Linked DNA regions of Alligator mississippiensis. The protein of the gene in region 2 purifies or fractionates together with the protein of the main gene of each other region. This does not show direct contact. Links are inferred from orthologs where the notes say so. Each region holds a gene or a part of one and is shown on either strand. Other genes may lie near its edges.

What was found.
Region 1: the proteins of FAF2 (region 2) and UBAC2 purify together in Homo sapiens (affinity purification with western blotting; 7 studies listed by BioGRID and IntAct, with this or other methods). This does not show direct contact. The link is inferred for Alligator mississippiensis from reciprocal best matches to the Homo sapiens genes FAF2 and UBAC2.
Region 3: the proteins of FAF2 (region 2) and DERL1 purify together in Homo sapiens (affinity purification with western blotting; 4 studies listed by BioGRID and IntAct, with this or other methods). This does not show direct contact. The link is inferred for Alligator mississippiensis from reciprocal best matches to the Homo sapiens genes FAF2 and DERL1.

What each region holds. Positions count from the first base shown.
Region 1 is NC_081824.1:364,831,549-364,838,881, forward strand, and holds the start of UBAC2 (ubiquitin-associated domain-containing protein 2), read right to left. Parts: upstream 3,012-7,333; 5' UTR 2,867-3,011; coding exon 2,815-2,866; intron 1-2,814. UniProt on the Homo sapiens protein: Restricts trafficking of FAF2 from the endoplasmic reticulum to lipid droplets.
Region 2 is NC_081832.1:79,160,389-79,168,275, reverse strand, and holds the start of FAF2 (FAS-associated factor 2), read right to left. Parts: upstream 3,013-7,887; 5' UTR 2,919-3,012; coding exon 2,856-2,918; intron 1-2,855. Other genes in the region: CLTB (clathrin light chain B), read left to right, coding at 3,375-3,516, 3,645-3,691, 3,997-4,132, 4,244-4,355, 4,640-4,693, 5,090-5,261. UniProt on the Homo sapiens protein: Plays an important role in endoplasmic reticulum-associated degradation (ERAD) that mediates ubiquitin-dependent degradation of misfolded endoplasmic reticulum proteins.
Region 3 is NC_081826.1:20,780,949-20,788,334, forward strand, and holds the start of DERL1 (derlin-1), read left to right. Parts: upstream 1-4,375; 5' UTR 4,376-4,490; coding exon 4,491-4,643; intron 4,644-7,386. Other genes in the region: TBC1D31 (TBC1 domain family member 31), read right to left, coding at 58-204, 2,466-2,542. UniProt on the Homo sapiens protein: Functional component of endoplasmic reticulum-associated degradation (ERAD) for misfolded lumenal proteins. Forms homotetramers which encircle a large channel traversing the endoplasmic reticulum (ER) membrane.

The DNA of each region.
Region 1 (7,333 bases), on a different chromosome or scaffold from region 2:
GAGGTACGGAGTCACACACCATCAAGCTGGGCAGGCTCTGTGCCTCTACATGCGGCTTCCTGCTAGAGTGCTGGAAGCCCCACATGCAGGCACTGAGCCAGCTGGCTCGGCCCACTGACCCACCCACAAACCCCACACACCCACCCACAGCCAGCCACAAACTCCATACCCACCCCACCCCCTGCAGGCTCCCCTCCCCAGTTACCCAGATGTCCAGCCACATGGCTCTGTACCTCCATATCATGGAGGTAAAGGCACAGAGCCCACTGTAGTTAAATTATGCAGTTATGCACGGTAATACCTTTTATGCGCAAAGTGCATGGGCGCATAATAGCATAATTCCCTAGGTTGTATATACAGAACATATAACATGTTCAAATGTCCTGGCATCATGAAGACAGACAGCACATATCAGTAACATTATTCTCTATCTGCTCTTTATCTTTGCCAAGTTAGAGTTATGTTCTTATATTCTTTTCTTTTTTTTTTTTTTTTTTCCCTCATGGCTGTGGTGTTCAAGAGAGCTTGTGGAATGGGTATTTTTTGTGGATCCCTTAAATTTACAAATGCTGCTAGCAAAGGCAGGGAACCAGATCTGATGGCCCAAGAAGCACCTTTCAGCTCGAGATTCAGATACAAAGTAATAATTAAACTAGGCATCAATTCTAAGACTTTTTTAAATGTAATTCTATGTATAAGTATCTAGGTCTGTAAGCAAACAACATTACAATTTTGTATGTTATGAGAGGAAAGGAGTGAAATGCTCTGTTATTGCTATGGGAATCTTCATCAGCCTGTTAACATGCATAACCCTAAACTACAGAGTTGACTCTGGGGTAAAACCAGGGGACAATCCAGAGGAAGTTTTTAGGAAGACGCTCAAACACTGTTTCCATCTGGCAACTTTGAACTGATTTGTACACAGGAAAACAGGGCTAAAAATAGCCTCTCAGGACATCAAGTCCAGCCCTACAAGTTCAAAGTCAACCAATGCTTCAGAGACCTAAAAATCATTTGATTCAGCCTCTCAACCAGAACAATGACAAAGCACATTATGGCTAGATACAGTCAGAAAACCCAAAGCCGAATCAATTCAGTCTTTGCAGGTTAGCCTAAACTGCACAGATTAAACAGAAACAGAAGTAAGCAGACATTTTCACAGATTTCATAGACATTAGGGCTGGAAGGGACCTCGTAAGATCACTGGGTCCAGCCTCCTGCCCATGGGGCAGGAAGTCAGCTAGGGTCAAAAGATCCCAACAAGATAAGCGTCCAAATGTTTCTTAAAAGTGCCCAGAGTAGGTGCTTGCAGCACCTCTGTGGGGAGTCTGTTCCAGGCCTTGGGGGCTTGGACAGTAAAGAAGTTTTTTCTTATGTCCAGCCTAAAACGGTCTTGCAGGAGTTTGTGACTATTGGACCTTGTCATACCCTGGGATGCTCTGGTAAAAAGGTGTTCCCCAGATCCTGATGCACATCCCTTATGTACTTATAGACTGCCACCAAGTCACTCCTGAGCCTGTGCTTCTCCAGGCTGAAGAGTCCCATAGCTCACAGCCTCTCCTCGTAAGGCCTGTTCTCTTGCCCTCTGATCATGCGCGTGGCTCTCCTCTGGACTCTTTCAAGCCTCTCAGGCAAGGTTACAGGGGTGGGCAAATGAGAATAGGATGGGATTCAATACTGACAAGTGCAGGGTATTGCACTTGGGCAGGAAGAACCAGCAGCATACCTATAGGCTGGGGAACTCCCTTCTTGAAAGCACAGTGGCTGAAAGAGATTTGGAGTCATTACCAATTCCAAAATGAACGTGGGCCGCCAATGTGAGGACGCGGTCAGCAAGGCTAATCGCACCTTGTCATGTATCCACAGATGCATCATGAGCAGGTCCAGGATCCTCCCCCTCTATGCGACACTGGTCAGGCCACAGTTGGAGTAGTGTGTCCAGTTCTGGGTGCCGCACTTCAGGAGGGATGAGGCCAGCATTGAGAGGGCCCAAAGGAGGGCCAGCATGATCAGGGGGCAGCAGGGCAGGCCTTACAAGGAGAGGTTAAGGGACCTGAACCTGTTCATTCTTCACAAGACAAGGCTGAGAGGGGATCTAGTGGCCGCCTATAAACTTACCGGGGTCTGGGACCAGAGGGGAATGGGCGAGACCCTGTTCTCCCGAGCACCTCCCGGAGTAACAAAGAATAATGGCCACAAGTTGATTAAGAATAGGTTCAGGATACAAATCAGGAGGCAATACTTCATAGCCAGGGCAGCCAGGATCTAGAATCAGCTTCCAAGGGAAGTGGTGCTGGCTCCTACCTTAGGGGTCTTTAAAAGGAGGCTTGATAACTACCTAGCTGGGGTCATTTGAGCTTAAACTTAGTAGGGGTCATATGAGCCCAGTAATTCATTCCTGCCCAGGGAAGGGGGTCGGACTAGATGATCTGCTCAGGTCCCCTCCGACCCTACATCTATAAATATGCTTCTCCACATCCTTCCTGAATTGTGGAGCCCAGAATTGGATGCAGTACTCCAGCTGCGGCCTCACCAAGGCCAAGTACAGCAGGAGGATGACATCCTGGGTCTTGCTTGAGAAGCATCGGTAGATGCAAGCCAGAGTTTTGTTTGCTTTGCCAGCTGTGGTATCGCATTGGTGGCTCATGTTCATCTTGCGGTCAATCATGACCCCCAAGTGTCTTTTGGCTGTGGTGCTAGTGAGGATAGCATTGCTGAGCCTATAAGTATGATGCAGGTCCCCCCCCCCCCCCACCGAGGTGAAGCACCTTGCATTTCTCTATATTGAATGCCATCAGGTTTTCATCCACTCACCTTGCAAGCCTATCGATCCTATTTTCCTTTGATTCAGAAAATGCAACCACATGCCTACAGTGTCTCAGGCAGAAGACAGGGGGCACTAGAGCACAGCTCTCTAGCTGTGTGTTCACTTCCTCTTCCTGCTGCCGCCAAGGTCTCTGGGATTTGCAGCCCAGAATTACAACAGCAGGACTCTGCAGGGTTGCTCATCACGTCCTCTTCCTGCTTCCAGGTGCCTCTGTAATTTATAGTCCACAGTTGCAGCCAACAGTAAGTTTGAGTGGGGTAAGGGTTGTTTAACCCGCCCTCCCTGGCCCCAGGCCCCAGCCAGGGTGCTTCCCTCTGCAGCAGCTGTAGCTCCCCCAGGAAGCACCTGCCCGCAGGCACGCACCTGGCTCGGGTGGCCCTAGGGGTCAGTCACCACAGCCGCAGAGGTAAGCACCAGGCCTCCCGCAGCTCAGGCAGGCGGCTCCGGGGGGGAAAAAGATCAGGCTTGCCACTATTCTTGGGCAGAGCCTGCTTTCTCAAACTGAAGTACAGAGGTAACAGACTAGCATAGAAGTCCACAAGAGATCTGGGTTAATTCAGCTCTGAAAGTTTCAGTAATTTCAACAAACCCAATCAGGGATCATTAGTTAGAATATTAAGATTACTAGCCAATTACCCATCATGAATGACAGATTTAAAATAATGGCAGGGAGGCCACCCCCCGCCTCCCTGCTCACCCTTCGGGGCCAGCCATATAAACACTCCCTGCACCGCTGTCACCTCCTCCTCTAGCCACTAGTGTGGAGGCTCCCTCCCCACCCACCTCCACCTCCTCCCCTGAGCAGAAGGGCTTCCCCCGGCCTCCCCTCCCCTCCCTACTCCCCTCTGAACCTACCACCTCCCTCTCCCTGCCAGCTGTTGGGTGCATGTGAGCCTGCCTCTGCTTCTTCCACCGAGCAGCCACACTTCCCCCGCCATCCCGCTCTCCCTGCCAGCTGTCAGATGCATGTGTCCCCGCATCTGCCCTCTGCCTCCTCCCCACCTGGGTCCATGCAACCAATCGACGGCAGCGCATGCACAGCTGACCAACAGTGTTACGGACAGACAGACAGACAAACAGACAGGCAGAGGAAGCCCTTTATTATACTAGAATGTTTACCAGCTATCTATAAATAGTAAGCATAGGCTGGGAAGAAACTTGGGAACTTCTACATGACACCTGCTGGACTGTTCATCTGCGGGACTGTTCATCTGGAGGACCCCCTGCTGTGCAGAACATGAGCCTGGCCAGCTTCACTTTGCGGCAGTCAAGACCCATCCTGTAAGATTATGCTTTTTTTCAGCTAATCTTGCTTTGTCAATTAATCAATAAGCTTCTCACATTGGTTGGAATGACACAAGAGTCTATTTCAATTTTTCACCTCCCCACCCCTATTAAAAATCTGTTAACGGGGTGGTGCTGGCCACAAGTCAACATCCCTTTCCCCTCCAGGAGGTGCGACTCCAGCACACCCTGACTACTGTGAGCACCCAATGCAGCTCCCTAGTTTGCTACTAGCTCTAGGACTCCCATGCAAACAGCAACAGGAATCCTACTGCCTACCTCTGTGAAAAGAATGAGCCAAAGAATGGAAACCACCCAGCAAGCTGCAAACTGGACCCGTGCTGAGGTGCTGGACCTCATCATCATCTAGGGCAAGTTGAAAATACTCACCACCACTGCCAAGGGCTCAAAGGGCAACAAGCAGCACCAGGTGGTCTATGAGCGCATTGCCTTAGTGCAGCCTGCATGCAGCAAGCTTGCTGGGTCACGATTTCGCCCTGGTGAGGCACATGTAGCAAGCCCATTGAGTCTCTGGCCTGGGCTCTGCCCTGTTGTGAGTGCATACTAAGCCCAGCTCCTACCCCAGTGTGGCATGCAACAAGCCTGATGGGTCTCAGGTGTGTCCTGATATAATAACTAACCCAATTCCTTCAAAGCCAATACCAATTCAGTGAAACACATACAAGGTTCTGGTCCTTTTTTATATTCTTTTTTCCATTTCTTTCTCTTTACTTCTCCCCTGTACCAAATCACTTCAAACAGTTGGTTTTTTTTTAAAAGACTCCCCTCCCACCTGTGGTTCTAACTGGCTCCTGCTGGCTACAGAGTAAGGGAAACTACATGGTGGTTTCTCTGCCTCTGAGGCCCCCTCTACACAAAGCTAAAGGTGTGATGGGATCTAACATGCAATTCATACAATCGCACCTCCTGCGATGCCACATACGCGTGGCAGGAGGGGCAATAGTGGGATCATGCATTAGATACTGTTGCACCTTATTGCTGGTGCAGGGCGTGCTCAATCCTGAGCTGCCCCTGAACTGGCAAACTCCAGCAGCTAGAAGCCCCACATACTCCAGCTGAAGGGCTCCCAGCCACAGGGGCACCCCTGGGGCTGTAGGATAATTACAGTGGAGATTCCCCCACCCCAAGGGTCAAACGATCACCATGATCCCCAGGATCTGGGGGTTTCCCACACCCATAAGCCCTTAGGGATAGTGGCTGCCCACGCCCCTTCAGCTTTGAGGTTTTATGCAGAACATGGTGCACCCCTGCAGCTGGAAACCCTATCAGCTATTGGGTTCCCAGTCGCAGGGGAGACCTTGCTATATGTGCACATTAAAGCTCAATAGCAACCAGCTCTAAAGTTAGCATACTTTTTTAAGGTCTAACTTCATAGCTGGTTGGAGCTTTTTATTGTGTGTGAGAGCTACTCTGCATAAGTAGCGGTCTTCAAGTAATTGTGCAATGCCACCCTCCCCACTACTCTCCCACCCCAAAGAAGGGATAAAGGCCTGGCTCTTGTCCACATGCCTGCTCACCAGGCCCTCTAATGGCAGTTTAATAAAATCACAGAAAATTACGGTTGGAAGGGACCTCAGGGGGTCATCTAGTCCAACTCCCTGCTCAAAGCAGGACCATCCCCAACTAGATCATTCCAGCCAAGGCTTTGTCCAGCCAGGTCTTAAAAACTTCCAAGGATGGAGATTCCACCACCTCTCTGGGGACCTTGTTCCAGTGATTCACCACCCTCGTAGTGAGAAAGTTTTTCCTAATATCCAACTTAAACCTCCCTTGCTGCAACTTGAGACCATTGTTCCTTGTTCTGTGATCTGTCACCATAGAGAACAGTCCAGCTCCATCCTCTTTCAAGCCCCCCTACAGGTACTTAAAGGCTGCTGTCAAATCCTAGCTTAGTCTTCTCTTCTGCAGACTAAATAAACGCAGTTCCCTCAGCCTCTCCTCATAAATCATGTGCCCCAGCACCCAAACCATTTTCACTGCTCTCCACTGAGCTCTCTCCAACTTGACCATATTCTTTCTATAGTGAGGGGCCCAAAACTGGACACTGTACTCCAGATGTGGCCTTCCAGTGCAGAATAATTACTTCCCTTGATCTGCTGGCAACACTCCTACTAATGCAGCCCACTATGCAGTTAGCCTTCTTGGCAACAAAGGCACACTGCTGACTCACATCCATCTTATTGTCCACTGTAACTCCCATGTCCTTCTCTGCAGAGCTGCTACTTAGTCAGTCAGTCCCCAGGCTGTAGCGGTACATGGGATCGTTCCATCCTAAGTGCAGGACTTTGCATTTGTCCTTGTTGAACCTCCTAAGATTTCTTTTGACCCAATCCTTCAATCTGTCTAGGTCACTCTGAATCCTAGCCCAATCCTCCAGTGCATCTACTACACCCCCCAACTTGGCATCATCTACAAACTTGCTGAGGGTGCCTCCTAGGCCTCCCAGTTGTGCAGGTCTGAGACAGCATTAAGCCTTAACCTGTGACTGCTCTGAAACTGTTGTAATTTATGACAGCAACCTTCAACAGATTTAAAATGTTTTAAAGGTAACCTGTAACAGCACCCTAAGATACCACCCTGTCCTGCCCTTCTGCCTAACTTCAGACCAGCATAGCTAACTCTCTCTCTCTCTCTAGGATATGCATCCTGACTATTTCCCACTTCTCAGATTTTTTTAAATCTTATATTTATATCATTTTTCTAAAGCAGTGGTTCTCAACCAGGGTGTTGCAAGGCCCCTCAGAAGTGCTGCACTAACAGTGGCCAGGTAAAACTGCCTCACTACCCCTGCACTAGGGCTCCTTAATCAGCCTAAAACAGGCAGGAGAACCAGTCCTGGCTGTAACAGTTCTGTCTGCTTCTGCTTTCAGGAGCAGCATTGGGGGTGCTGGACCATAAAGAACTGCACAGCATGAGGCAGCTCCTGTCTGCTTTAGACTGATCAGAGCACTAGTGTGAGAGAACCACACACGTAGCACAGCCCTTCATGGGCTGGCTTTGCAGTGTGGAGCCCTTCCATTTCAGAGCCCTTCCCAGCAGCAGGACCTGGCTGGGAAGCACTGAGGTAAGCTGAGGCAGCACCACTAGTGGTTCTCAGCCAGGAGTGCCACCACATTCAAAAAAGTGGTGGTGGGGCATTTTAATCCTGAAGAGGTTGAGAACCTTTTAGCTGCAGATACACTACATTCTGGAGGCACATAA
Region 2 (7,887 bases):
TTCAAATGTTTATGAGCAGGGCAACTCCAAGACAGCACTGCCAAGACAATGGGCAGTACACAACTATGCAGTTAACCCAAACCACCCGAAGCTATAGGAATCAGCTGGGATCCTATGACCCCAGCTGACTTCCTGCCCTTTGGGCAGGGGCTGGACTTGATGATCTTCCAAGGTCCCTTCCAGCCCTAATGTCTATGAAATCTATGAATTCTGAAAACAACCAGAGTTGAGATATTTCAGCTCATTACTGAGCAGCAACACTTTAATTACCTCTTGTTCAGTTTACTCACCATCTGTCACAGTCCTCATGATAGTCTTTCAGCCTTAATGGCAGGTTAATAATTTCCAATTAAAAACTGCCTGAAAAACTGCTCAGAGGAAGAAATCCCTGTGGTCTCTGAGAACTGCACAAGCTGGGCCCAATACCTTTCAAGAGAAATTCAGTGTTCTCTCTGGAGAGACCACCATCTCTGTCTACTTATTTCCATAGTGCACATCACAGGGCAAACTGCCTCCATTGTACTCAAGCTGACAGTGAGGATGAGGAGGAGGATTTCTTGTGGGTTAAGTCCAGGACTGTGTGTGCAACAGTTGAGGTTTATTCTCCACCCTGACACATGCATGTTTTATGATGACTATTGCCTTTTTGTGTTGCAGCAAAAGTCAGAAATCGCTAGCATGCACCAGAACTCCACTGTGGCTGCTATGGGATGATCTGAAGTAAAAGAAACCCTCTGCCACACACACCTTACAATCAGAATGATCACATTTCTTGCATGACCTTAGGTAAGTCCCTCTCTCCTTTCCTGGGTTTCCCCTAAATAAAATGCACATAATTGTATTTACTTAGCCTACAAGGGGATTTTGAAATGTAATGAAGATGCGTAAAGCATCAAGTTCATCAGCAGTTAGTGACACAGAAAAGCAAATAATTAGTAGCAGCAGTTAAGCTTCAAACACCTACTGACCACTATGTGTTGGGACAGAGTAACTGAGAAACAGGAAAGGGTGCAGTAGAAGGAAGGACCATCTCTGAGGTCTAGAAGCATTAGCTCCATTGCTTTAAATGTTCCTGGCTCTGCAAAACAGTATGCATACAGAACGGCCATAAATACTGAATGGCATTTGAGGTCTGTCAGAGTGGGAAATACACCCTGGTCTGTCAAAGCCCCATCCCACACTTTAGCTTTACTGCTGCAACGTGGGTCTGAACAACGGCTCCAACCCAGCACCGCCTCGACGGTCACCCCGCTGCCAAGCAGCAGCTGCAGATGTGCTGAACCCGTCTGGAGACTCAGGAGGATTAGACTGAAAACATCGGTAGTCTGATCACAACTGGAATATCACCTTGATATATCACCCGGGATCTTCAACTCATGACTGGAGGCCCAAGGACCACGATTCATAGTAGTTACATGCTGTCACGCTGAGCACAGCGGAGATTAACAAACAGCTCAACCAACCACAAGTTATCTGCTTGGGTTACTGGGTGAAATGTTAGGTCTTTTGATCCACTCAAAGCCCTTAATTTAGATCAGTGGTTCTCAACCTTCACCCCTCGCTCGCTCTGACGCACTCATCCTTAGATCTGAGGCCCTGCGTGGAAGTTGCCAGCTCTTGCTTTTCATTCATCTTCTGAACACAGACAAACACCAGAGCCAATCTCCTGTCGCAAAATACACAACGGGGCACAAATATATTTCTGATCTCTTGATTCATTTGCAACAGAAGATTGGCTCCAATATTAATACATGTATTCTTGACACTCTGGGTTCCCGTTTGATGTCTCTGGTCTTCTGATACGCATCACGTTGCAAATTTTACCCCATGGTCAGACAGGCACGGACGACGGGGGTTTTAGCTTCCTCAGTAGCCGGGGGGGGCCCTTCCCTGGGATCGCTTGAGCATGTACTGACTGCGTCATCTCACGAGGTCTCTTCCAGCCCTAACCTTCTGCGAATCCGTAAACGTTTCATGGAAACGGGACGGTGGCTACTACGGGTCCCCTGCCATACCTGCACCAGGTTCGGGCGGGCTGCCTATGCTGCGCCCCGGTTAGGTTACCTGCAGTCCTGTGTCCACCTGCGGGCCCCCGCTGCAGAAAGGATGTGGACACGTTGGAGAGAGTCCAGTGGAGGGCATTGACAATGGTTGTGGGCTGGGGACAGGACTGGTGAGGAGCGGTTCAGGGAAATGGGCTGACTGAGTCTGCAGAAGGGAAGACTGAGGGGGGCTGAATAGCAGCTTCACCTCCCTGCCGGGGGGCTGCAAAGAGGATGGAGCTGGGCTGGTCTCAGTGGGGCAGATGCTGGACAAGGAGCGATGGGCTCCAGCTGCAGCGAGGGAAGTTGAGAGTGGATATGAGGACAGCACAGTCTCCAGGAGGGCGAAGCACTGGAGCAGGCTCCCCAGAGCGGTGGTGCGGTCTCCACCCTCGGAGGTGGTGAAACGGCGGGTAGACAAAGCCCTGGCCGGGCCGGGCCGGTCCTGCGTGGAGCGGGGCTGCGCTAGACGCGACTCCCGAGCTCCGCTCCCCTCCCCCTCCCGGCCCGTGACTGGATTGCGCAGGGCGGCCTGACGCTGCCTCGGCCCGCGCCGGAGTCGCTGCCGGCCGCGCTCCGAGCGGGCCAACCCCACGCGGCAGCCGGCGGCGGCAGAGGAGGCGCTGTGGGCCGGGCCGGGCCGGGCCGGGCACGTGCGCGCGGGGAGCGCGGCCCAGTCATGGGGGGAAGGCCCCAGCCCAGGGCCGCGTTGCCCCGGTAACCAGCGGCCAATCCCGGCGCTACAGACCCTGGGGGGCGGGGCCTTCCTGCTCCTCCCCCGCCCGGGCCCCGAGAGCGGCGCGGCCGCGGCACCTGGAACTGCAGCAGCTTCTCGGTCTGCTCCGCCGTCAGCTCCCGCTCCGCCGGCGCAGCCATTTTGCTACCGCCTCTTGACCCGCCGCTCCGTCACTCTCGGGAAGTGACGCTACACTTCCGGTCCTCTTTGACCCCCCCCCCCACGGCGGACGGGTCGCGGGAGGGCGTTCCTCCGCTCCCCTCGGCGTCGTTGCTCGGGGCTTTCCGAAGCGCTCCACGTGACCACCCGCCCGAAGCTGCTGGGAGGGTTCCGGAAACACCCGAGCGGTCCACGTGACCGCCCGCCCGAAGTCTCTGGGAGGTTTCCGGAAACACCCGAGCTATCCACGGTCACGTGACAGTACACCCGAAGCCGCTGGGAGGTTTCCGGAAGCGGCCGAAGGCTTCAGGCAGCCGTTGGCAGGGCTGGTGCGCGCGTGCCGCAGTCCCGCGCCGTGACGTCGCCCCCGGCCCCGCCCATGACGTCACGCCGGTGACGCCAGCGCGCGTCCCGGCCCCGCCCCGCCCGGCGCAGACATGGCCGAGGAGTTCGGGCTGTTCGCGGGCGCGGCCGAGGAGGACCCCGCCGCCGCCTTCCTGGCGCAGCAGGAGAGCGAGATCGCGGGCATCGAGGGCGACCCCGGGCCCGGGAGCAGCCCGGAGCCGCTGCACGAGGACGGTGGGCGGCGCGCTTGGGGCCGGGGCACGGCGGGGGCTGCCCGCGGGAGGGGGCCGGGCCCGGGGCCGGGGCCGGGGGGGGCGCCCTGCCCGCCGTGACCCGCCGCCTCTTCCCTCCCTCGCGTGCAGCCGGGGCGCCGGACGGGGCGACCGCGCTCAACGGAGACCTCTTCCAGGTACGAGCCGGGCTGAGCCGGGCGGGAGCGGCTCCAGCCTCGCCTCGCCCTGCCCTGACTCACGCGCCCGCCCCCGCCCCCGCCCCGCGCCCGCCGTGTCATCCTCGGGGTGCCGGCACCCCCACGGGCGGGGGGCGGCTGTGACATCACAGGGGTGTGATGTCACCAAGCCCCTCGTGGGCACCTGGGTTGTGTGGGCTGCCGCGGGGGGGGCACAGGCGAGCAGCCCCCTGCTTGTGGTGCTGGGGGAGGGAGAGCGAGCAGAGCCCGCTGCCCCGGGGGGCTGTGCTCACTCAGCGGGGCAGGGGGGCTGTGTCCCGCAGGAGTCCAACGGCCCCACGGACGCCTACGCCGCCATCGCCAAGGCGGACCGGCTGACCCAGGAGCCCGAGAGCCTCCGCAAGTGGAGGGAGGAGCAAAAGCAGCGGCTGCAGGAGCTGGGTGAGCACGGGGAAGGGGCGCGCGCAGGGTGCGGGAGCCAGCCTGCGCCCCCACCTCCCCCTGGGGCGGAGCCGCCCGCGCCGCCGTGACCGACTTCTGCCCCGGCCACAGACGCTGCCTCCAAGGTGCTGGAGCAGGAGTGGCGCGAGAGGGCCAAGAAGGACCTGGAGGAGTGGAACCTGCGGCAGGTTGAGCAGATGGAGAAGAACCGGGTTAACAACAGGTGTGGCCGGGGGGGAGGTGGGGACCTTCCTGGAGCAGGGAGGAGCCGTGCTTAGAAATAGGGGCATCTCTCCCCGTGCGAGGCCTCGTCCTGGGGGCCCGGGTCCTGCGTCAGCCCGACCCCACTGCCTGCCACGCAGGGGCCGGGCGTAGCCGGGGTCTCTGCTTGGTGGAGCGGGGCGTGCTCCTGCCGGCGGTGCGCGGGCACTAACACCTGCCCTCTCTGTCTGTCTAACCTGCCTGCCTGTCACTCTGCTACTTCTCTGTCTGCTGCTCCTGGGCTAGGATTGCTGACAAAGCCTTTTACCAGCAGCCGGACGCCGATGTGATTGGCTATGTGTACGTGCCCCTCTCTCTCGCTCTCTCCCTCTCTCTTTCTGTTTCTCTGTCCTTCCGGTTGGGGATTTCCCTCTGCCTGGTGTGGGGGTCTGCAGGGCTGTTGGGGTCTGGTGGGGGTGTCCATCCAGCACCTCCCACAGTGAAGTCCCCAGAAGCGAGTGGAGCTGCAAGGTGTGGAGGAAGGGGGTGAAGTGGCGGCTGCATGGGGGTTGCATTATGAGCCCACCCCCCTGGGGGGGGTCTCTGGGGTGGCAGAGGAGCCCTGGGCTTGTGCACCTGCCAGGAGCCTGTTCTTAACCAGACTGCAGAGCCCCTGTGCCCGAGGGATGGGGGGCATGGGGAAACGGGGGCATTGCGGGCAGTGGGCAGACAGTGGCTGACCCCCTTTCCCCACAGGGCCTCGGAGGAAGCCTTCCTGAAGGAGTCGAGGGAGGAGGACCCGGGCACGGAGTGGGAGAAGGTGGCGCAGCTCTGCGACTTCAACCCCAAGAGCAGCAAGCAGAACAAGGACGTCTCCCGCATGCGCTCGGTGCTCATCTCCCTCAAACAGACGCCCCTGGCGCGCTAGCCCAGCCGGAGCGCCGCAGGGGCACGGCCCCCCACCAGCTTGCCTGGATGCGCGCAGCATGTGGGGCCCGTGGTGGCCAGCAGGGGTGCTGCCCCCGCCGCGAGCACCTCCTGCGGGCGGGTGGCTGTCGCTGTCCCCCTGGTTTTCCTTTGCTTAAAGGGTGCGTTGGTCTTTTTACACTTATTTATTACCGTGGTGGTTCCCTCGGTGGTGGGTGGGGTGGCTGGGCTGGGGCTCCTCCCTGCCAGGCCCCTGTTGCAGGTACCCCCTCCCCAGCTGGTGCCTGGGCCCAGGCTGGCTGTGATGTTGGAGGTAGGAGTGTGACATCACCGTCTGCTTGCGGCTCAGCGCGTGAGGAATTGGGATGTGCAGGGCTGGGGCAGGGGCTTGGGTGGGCAGGAGGTCCTGGCCTGGCCTGGCCTGGGGTGGTGTGTGGGGGCTGGAGATGCTGAGCAGGGCAAGGGAGGAGCCTCCCCCAGGGAGCCTGTCCTCTGGGTCTCACTAAGAGCTTCCCGCCCCCTGGCTCCAGGCTGAATGGAGCTGCCTTGATGACTGCTGCTGTGAGGGGATGCTGAGCTTGGGTGGCTGACTCTTCCCAGCAAGGCTTTGGCCCCCTGCCCAAGCTCCTTGCTGGTAGCAGAGGCAGGTGCTGGCTCTGTGCTGGGTAGGTCTGACCCAACCCCTTGTGGCTCAGCCCCCAGCCCTGGGATCCCAGCCTGTGCTGAGGCCTGGTCCAGGAGCCTGAGATCTGCTCCCTGCTGGGCTGCGTAGACACCATATCACCTCTTGGGCATGTGCTCAGCCACCTGTCTGCAAGGACCTGGTGGGTGGGGAGGGCTGGGTACAGCTGGCAGGGAACTCGGGGCAAAGTCCACAGCACATGGGCTGAGCCTTGCCTTAGGAGACCCTCTCCAGCCCCACCCAGGCCAGCTCTGCAGGGCATTGGCTCTGGGGTGCAGGAGGCTGCTGGCTGGGTGTGGAGCTGCCCAGCAGGGCAGGACAGGAGTGTGCTACTTTGCACAGCTGGGGCTGAGCTGGTGCGGGGAGGAGGGGATGGCAGCCCACAGCTCTGCCTAGGCAGCTCTGCCTGCCCCTTTGCTGCTCCAGGGGCCAGAGAGTGGGGCCTACCTCACTCTTGCAGCTGCTGGCAGAGCCCCCTTCACTCTGTTCTGGGAAGCCCCAGGGAGGCTGTTGCTTGCGCCCCGCAGAGAGAAGGAGCCCCCAGGCTTCCCCAGCCGGCCCTGACTGCTGCTGTCACCTGGGAGAGAAGGGACACCTGGCTCTGGGGAGGGCTGTGCCTGTGGCTGTTCTGTGTGTCCCCAGCTTTGGTATCTGTGACCTTGTCCAAGCCACTTGTTACAAATAAACTGACAGCTCCAAACCCAGGAGGTGCTGCCCTTTCCTTCCTCACTCATTCCTCGTTCAGGCTGGAGGGGCAACTCGGAAGCAGCTGCTGTGCTGGGAGCCCACAGGCTTGCTGGCAAGTGGAGGCCGGGAGCCGGGTAAAGGAAAGGGTGGGAGTGGGGCGGGGGAGCTGGTTTCATAGTTGGTCGGGTCGGAAGGGACCTGAGCAGATCATCAAGTCCGACCCCCTGCCACGGGCAAAAAAGGATGCTGGGGTCAAATGACCCCGGCAAGGTGACTATCTAGCCTCCTTTTAAAGACCCCCAGGGTAGGAGCCAGCACCACTTCCCTTGGAAGTTGGTTCCAGATCCTAGCTGCCCTGACTGTGAAGTAGCGCCTCCTGATGTCTAGTCTGAGTCTACCCTCCATCAACTTATGGCTGTTATTCCTTGTTACTCCAGGTAGTGCTCAGGGGAGCAGGGACTCCCCCATTGCCTGCTGGTCTGCCTTTGTCTATTTATAGATGGCCACTAGATCCCCTCTCAGCCTTCTCTTGTGGAGGCTGAACAGGTTCAGGTCCTGTTGCCTCTCCTCCTGGGGCCTGCCCCCTTGTCATGCGGGTGGCACTCTAGACCCTCTCCATTCTGTCCACATCCCTCCTGAAGTGCGGTGCCCAGAACTGGACGCAGTACTCCAACTGCGGCCTGACCAGTACCGCACAGAGGGGGAGGATCACATTGGACTTGCTCGTGACGCATCTGTGGATGCCAACAAGGCCTTCCTGACCATGTCCCCATGCCGTCGGCCCATGTTCATCTTGGAGTCAATAATGATTCCAAGATCCCTTTCTGTCTCTGCACTGACGAGAAGGGAGTTCCCCAGCCTGTAGGTCTGCTGCTGATTCTTCCTCCCCAGGTGCAGCACCCTGCACTTGTCAGTGTTGAACCCATCCTGTTCTCATCCGCCCACCCCTGTAACCTGTCCCGGTCTGATTGCAGCCTGTCCCTCCCTTCTAGCGTGCCCACCTCCCCCCACATCTTAGTGTCATCTGCGAATTTGAACAAGGTGCTTTTCAGCCCCTTGTCCAAGTCGCTGATGAAGATGTTGAACAGTGCGGGTCCGAGGACCGAGCCCTGGGGGACCCCACTGCCCACAGCCCTCCAGGTTGAAAATGACCCGTCCACGACCGCTCTCTGGGTGCGGCCCTCCAGCCAGTTAGCGACCCATCTGACTGTAGGCATCAACGCCACAGTCACCTAGTTTATTAATGAGAAGGCCTTCC
Region 3 (7,386 bases), on a different chromosome or scaffold from region 2:
AATAATCAAAGAATAACACATAATAGCCATATATTAATAAGAAAAAATAATGCTTACCTGTTTCCACTCAAGTCAAAAACATAGATATTCCCTTGATGGTCTCCAGCAAGTAATGAGTCACCAGAATTGTCAAAGGCCACACTGAGAAAACGTATGGTCTTGGAGTGGTATCCTGTGGCACTATGAATAATGTTAGCTAGGACTCTGTGGGGAAAGCAAACAAATCACCCTGTTTGGGACAGTGTCTTTATCAAGCTTTTCCATATATGAGTAAAATGCTTCTAATATTAATGCGTCCAGGTATCTATGGGTTATTCCAGGTGATTAATGCTCTGGGGTGTTAAACACATGCCCACAAGATGGATCTGGCCCCCAGGGACACTCCATCTGGCTCCCTGTGCTATGGGTGGTCCAGGGTATTTGGGAGATGTGGCTAGTGAGGGGCAGAGCCTACTGCTGAATTCAGGGCCCTTGGCAGCAGGGGAGTGAGGGAGGGCCATGGCCTCCACTGCCCTGTTTGTTCTGCAGTTATTCGGCCCAATGCTGCTTGCACAGCCTCCACCACTGCTGGCCCGCAGCCCCCAGATCCAGCCCACTGAGGAGCCCCATGGTCCAGATGCAGCCTAGGTGAGTTTGACAACCCTGCTATAACTATTGCTCCCTTCAATCTTCTCGCTGGAAGTAAAGTATCCCAGTCCCTCAGGTCTGGGACTGTCTTCTTTTCCTCACACATCACAGCATCTGACAAAGCAGGCTGTCACCTACAGAAGCACCTCTCTTTCTGAACCAGTTAGTCTCCAAAGTGCCACCTGCCCTGCCTTCCACCTGACTTGAGCCTAACATGGCTAACTATCTCCTTCCCAGTGCATCAGAAATGGAATGAATGACAAAGGAGGTAACTTACTAAAGATGACCCCCCCCCGGGAGACGTGGTGGAATCTCCACTGTCAGTGTTTTTGAAGAGCAGATACAACAATGCTTGGCTGGGGGAGTCTGGCAGAAGGCAGAGTAGATGTACACCTTATAGACTAACCAACGTAGCTATCAGGGGCAGATCCAAGGGGTGGGGGGATGGGGATGCAGTTACACCCCACTTTGATTCTTGCTCCACCCCAAATTTAAAAGCAACTGCTTGGCAGTGGCAGCAGCATTTCTAGTCAGACAGCGTTGAGGGGGTCAACTGACTTCATGGCTCATTGTCATCTACCCGATTCCTTCCAAACTCTTCATTCAACAGGTGTTAACGACCCTCGCTTCTTTTTAAAGGTCTTGATGTTGCACCAATCAAGTCAGCCTTTGTTCTGCCATGCTGCTTTCTGTTTGCTGCTCCTGGGAAGGAAGCTCCTATTTCACAGCCCTGCAAATTGTTTTTAACTCATTCCAAAACAGGATATTTGCTTTTGCTTCAGTCTTCAGCTGCATAACACAGCCCTAGGCCCCTAGTATATTAGCAACGCTTTCTAGTTACATATGCAAAAGCAATCAGGGCTTATGGTAGAGGTGATATCTTTTATTATTAGACCAATTATTGTTGCTCTAAAAACAGATATCACCTCTACCATGAGCCCTGATTGTTTTTTCCTCTAGACTAATACAGCTACAACCTGGATACCAGTTATACATACACACACTCCCTGCTCCCAGCTTTCTTTATACCATTTATACACACACGCGCGCGCGCACATATATGTAGCATAAGCTTTCGGAAGCTGAAAATCACTTCATCAGATGCTGTGAAAGGACATGCAACAAGCTTGACAGGGCTGCTCCTGCCTGGCTGTGGCCCTGCTAGGAGTCCACCATAAAACACCCCAGGCAGGAATCACCCGTCCCCCAACAACCACCACACAAAGTACCTCAGCCCTGAGTGCAATGACGGTCCCTTGCACACAATTGCTTGCAATTGTGCTGCCCTATTTGAGTGGCCACATGGCTCAGTCAGCCCCTAGCTAAGGCAGGGTCTCAGTCTCATTGCCTCAGCCAAACTGGCTTCCCTGCAGCTCCAGGCACTTCTGGGCAGGCCGTGTCCAAGTGCCTCCATCCTGCCTCCAAAGCGTGCGCAGAGACACCTGCGGCAGGTGCAGACCGGCACAGAGACAGGGCTAGACCTGCATGAGGGGACCCGCTAGGGGGCAAAACCAGACAAGGGCCCTGCACCACGGCCCATACTAATGAGCAGCAACAGCCCCCACCTGAGGCACTGAGGCTCCAAACCCACCAGGCCCTGCCGCTCCAGGGCAGCACGAAGGCCAGGACCCTGGGTGCGCATTGCTGGCAGCTCCTCCTCTGGCAATACCCCGCCCCCACCTGTCTCCAGACCCCGCCCCTCCCGACCTGTCCCCAGGCCCCGCCCCCGCCCTCCCCAACTTGTCCTCTGGCCCCTCGCTCCCCCGACCTGTCCCCAGGCCCCCCCGCCCCATCGGTCCCCAGGCCCCACCCCCACCCTTCTCTCCCCCGGCAGTTACCCTTTCCGCGCGGCGGGGCACGGCTTGCGGTGCCAGATCTTGCCGCGCTGCCGGCTGCCCAGGTCGGCGCTCTCCATCCCGACGCACGCTCCACCCGGCTCCGCCCGCGCCAACCGCCGCTTCTCCCGCCGGCCGCCGGGGCGGGGACAGAAGACTGGGGAGGGGGGAGTCCGCCTCATGGGCTCGCCCGCTTGCAGTTGGCACACGTCAGGCGCCCACGGGCAGGGTAGCGTGTTCCCCCCTCTCCTCGGAGCGGTAATGGAATGGGCCACCCGCCCGGAAGCCGCGGCGCCTGTCGGGAGTTGTAGTTTGCAGCGCATCGGAAACTATAACTCCCGATAGGCACCGCGCCTCCCGGAGTGGGAGGAGCAGATGGAGGAGCCGCTTTTCGCGGTGTTGCATGCGCTCCAGTAACCTTGTGCCTGGGCGCGCGCGTTCCACCCCTCCCCCCGCTCGCCCGGGTCCGGCTGCAGAGGTGGGGGAGGACCGTGGTGCGTGTCCTGCGGGCTGCTTACAGGGCCACGGGCTGATGTTGTGTTGTATAAAGAAAGGGAAACCTCTTCACTCCTCTTGAGTGTGTCTGGGTCAACAGGGGCGCCAGATGTTTCGTTGGAGCAACCTGTAGTGGGGCCGTATCGGTTAGAGCCCAGCTCCATCCCAGCCACGTGGCTGGACCCACACGAGACTTCGCCCTAACATATCCCTCGCCTCTCTAACCCTTTCTGCTTACATCACTCTCCGACTCCCCTCTCCGTGCTGGCCTCCTCAACACACCTGTCCTTGCTCTGCTCGTCACTTCTGAGCTGCTTGGTGCGCGGGTTTCTTTCTGCTTCTGCTTTCGCTGTCTTCAGGGTGATGATTACCCATCCTGCCGGGTGAGCTCCCACGGGCTGGGATACCAGGGCTGCACCTGCATCTGGGGAACTTGTAATTCCAAAAGGTCGAGGAGAGCCGCCACAGTCTCCTGACTAGGACCAGGTTCCTCCCAGGTGACACGGCCCACGGTCTGCCAGGAGTCCTCAACATCCAGATTTTCAGTCAGGCCGCTGCGACCGTTGAGGCGCCTTAGAAGCTGTAACAACCTCCTAGGGTCCTTGCGCTGCTGTGCACCATCGGCGAGTCTTTAGGCAGTGATCTGGCAGCGCCCATCTCTCCAGGTCTGGGTGTCTGCTGGCTCGCAGGGAGCTCATCTGCCCTTTGACAGGTCTTGTTTTCAGTCCTGCTGGGTGTCCACACACCCTCCTCACCCAGCCTAGCACACGTGTGGGCGCCGATTTACTCATGGACAACCTGGCCCAGGAACAGGCTGTACTGGGTTACACCGTACCAGACAGCATACCCAGAGAGGCTTGGCCTGATGGGTATACTTATCTATACCTATCTCTATATACCTATCTATGTCTATAGCTAACTATCTTTATATGATATCTATACCTATTTCTCTCTCTCTCTTTGTCTATGTATCTATATATCTATCACTAGCTATATATGATATCTATATCTATCTATATCTCTATATATATCTATTTCTATCGCTATCTATCTATCTATCTATCTATCTATCTATCTATCTATCTATCTATCTATCTATCTATCTATCTATCTATCTATCTATTATGTCTGTATCTCTCTCTCTTGCTATCTCTATACATGTCTCTATCTACCTATCTCTACCTCTACATGTCTGTATCTACCTATCTCTCTATATATGTGTCTCTCTGTATCTGTAGCTAACTATATCGATATATGATGTCTATATCTTTCCTCTCCGTGTCTTCCCGGGTGTGCTGATTTCTAGAACACGAAATCTCAGCCCTTTCGGGAAGCCCTCGCGGGTGGTGGAGGTGTGAAGCGGGGGTGCGGCCCCTTTAAGAGGCGGGACTTCCGGTATCTTGTCGCAGCGCGGAGGGGCGGAGCTGGAAGCGGCTGCGGCTCGGCCGAACTCGGAGGAGCCACGTCGGGCGGAGCCAGACCGCCCCTAGCGCCAGCGCCTCCCCCGCGGCGGAGCAGCGACTAGGCCCGGCCATGTCGGACCTGGGGGACTGGTTCCGGAGCATCCCGCTCATCACCCGCTACTGGTTCGCCGGCTCCATCGCGCTGCCGCTCGTGGGCAAGCTGGGCCTTATCAGCCCCGTGTACCTCTTCCTCTGGCCCGACGCCTTCCTCGGCCGCTTCCAGGTAGGGCCCGCACTACATCTCCCGGCATGCCGCGCGGCCTTGGCGCGCTCGGCGGCTCGGCGCCGCCGCGCGGAGCCTGCTGGGGGCTGTAGTCCGGCGCGTGGTGGACGCTGGGGCGCCGCTCCTTGGCGCTGGGCTGCTTGTAGGGCGGCGGGCGCTGTGCCCTGCTCTGCTCCCCGACCCCCGCTGTCTCGTGCTGAGCCTTTGCGCCCCGTTTCAGCAGTCCTTGTCCCGAGCGCTCAGCAGCGCAGAACTAGTGCCCCTGTATTAAAGGGGGCTTATAGCTTCCGTGGCAGACCTGGCCCAGGAGATCCCTCCCCATGTTAAAAGGGGCAGGAGCAGACGCTGACGGGGAGAGCGAGCACCCTCTGACCGGGGCTTTTCCGGGCTTTTCCTGGCGTGCCTGTCTCTTGCGGCCTCCCACGTTTAAGGTTTAGGAAGTTCATCTTCTGATGCCATCTCCCTCGTCCCCCTGCTTGGTAGGTCCTCATGCCCCTTTCCTGCAAGCACTTGCCCACTCCCTGTTTGAGCCCAGCTGCACTGTCAACGCCCACAGCATCTGGTGACAGTGAGCTTCGCGCTTGAATGACATGCGCTGCGTGAAAAAACTTCCTGTGCTCAGCTTAATGCCTGCTACAGACTCGTTTCATTTCGTGAAACGAGTAGGTAGCAAGTTGCACTTGGTGACCCTTAGCTCTCGTACTGAGAGAGGGAGGAAATCATATATCCCTGTTGACTTTCTCTGCGCCATGTCGGATTTTGTAGACCTGTATGTCCCCCCTCAAGCATTTCTTTTTTTTTTTTCTAAATAAGTCTAGCCTCTTTAGTGTCCTCATATGGAAGCTCCTCCATACCACTAACTGTCCTTGTTGCTCGGCAGTTGTACCTAGGGTGAGGTCAGACTTGAGACGTCCATGGAGAGACCAGGCTTCCCCCCCCCATAAAGTGCTTTTCATAAGAGAGAAACGCAGTGCACTAAGTAGGAAGTTAATTCCCTTGCCAAGCGGATGCTGCATCCCAGAGAGCAGTGTTCAGACAACTCTTTGGGTCTGCGAGGCAACGTGTCAGCTCGGCAGTCTCGAAGATGTGTCTGATCCCTCTCTCTGCACTTGCACATTTATGCATTAGAGCAGGTACTTCATTATAATTTCCCTATACCTACTGGCTTAAAACTCTATCTGGACACTCCCAGGTATGCCTCATATGTGCCTGTACAAGGTGGGGCTTGTTGCATGTTCCTTTCCAGAACGAGGATGACAAGATTTAGTTTAGCCCTAATCATCGCAAACTTTTAGCCAGACCTGGTGAGCTAGAACAGAATTAGAAAAGCTGAGTTTTATCAATTTTGGTAGAGGTTTTTGGCTGTAGCTGTGTTGGTCTGTAACAACATAGGCAGGCCAGGTTCTTTGGGTAGATGTGAAAGCTTTTATTAGACCAACTGAGTAGCTGGAACAAAGTTCTTTGCAACTTGATAGGGTCTTGATATGTTTGTACTGTCTGTCTCTTTCCATATATTGATGTAAAACAGTTACTATTTTAAGAGTTGAAGTTTTATGCTTAGAACTGCTGACAATGAGCTCAGCCTCTGCTAACTGTTGTGATGGAGGAGGGTAGAGAGGCATTACAAGATGCTGACTGCAGCTTTTCAGCCTATAGTAGGTTTGGGACAGATGTGGGAGGACTCTGGGTAGGGCTAGCAGAGTTCATCTTCTGCTCCCTCTTGGTTGGCTTGTTGCCTTTTTGTCTGGAGTTTTGGGAAGGGTGCGTGGTGGGGGAGTCAAGGTGTTTAAATCATGGTCTGGTAGGAGCCCAGTGACCAACATCCCTAAGTTCTTGGAGCATGAGTTGCTGGCATGAGACTATCCAGGGTGCTCATTAAATTTCTGGGTGAGGGATGGATGATGGAAGGCCTCTCTTGCAGCACAAAACAATTCGTTCATTCTCTGTGCCTAAACACGGGCAATAAGAAACCATGTTGCCCTTCCCATCTAAAACAGTTGGGAAGGAAAGAAAAGATCCCCATCCTGTAAGGCTATCAGGGCTGCCCAGCTTCGGGGGGGGCTGGAGCTGCATGCCACATCAGTTCTGAGCCTGGGGCTGCACACCATGTAGGCTGCATGGCAAAGGGGTTGCCATGTCCTGTGGACTCCTGGACCCCTGCTGTGTGTGTAGAGCCAAGCCTCCCCCCCCCTTCTGTTCTCTGCACCTACATCGATGAGCTCCCAGCCTTACCTTGGTTGTTGCCACATGGGCAGTGCAAGCCCACCCTGCCACGCAAGCCCCAGGAGTGGCAGCTGGGCAGGAGCCTGCAGGCCACCAGTTGGACAGCCCTGCTTTATGTCATTACGAGCCTTCAAGCTGTCTTCCTTTTCCACATACTGACCCAAAGTAGTTATGACCTGAAGAGTTGGAGTCACATGCTTATTTGTGCTAGTCCCTCCTGAACTATGAAGCTTGAGGTCCAACCCTGTCATTCTGAATTTGTCTAGGCTGGGGCATCTGAAGCAGTGGCTCTCAACCTCATTGCACTCAAGGCACCTCTCTAACGTCAGAGTTCAACAGCACCCCATTTCAAACACTTACATGCACATTGTGAATGTTATGTTATAAACAGAATTATATTGTCAATGAATTTAATGAATGATACTGATGTATTATACCATAATATCAAATATAATACAAATGTAATATTCCCACTTCATGCTGCCAGCAAGAAGTGCTTTCCCAGCCGTGCCTGGCCCTG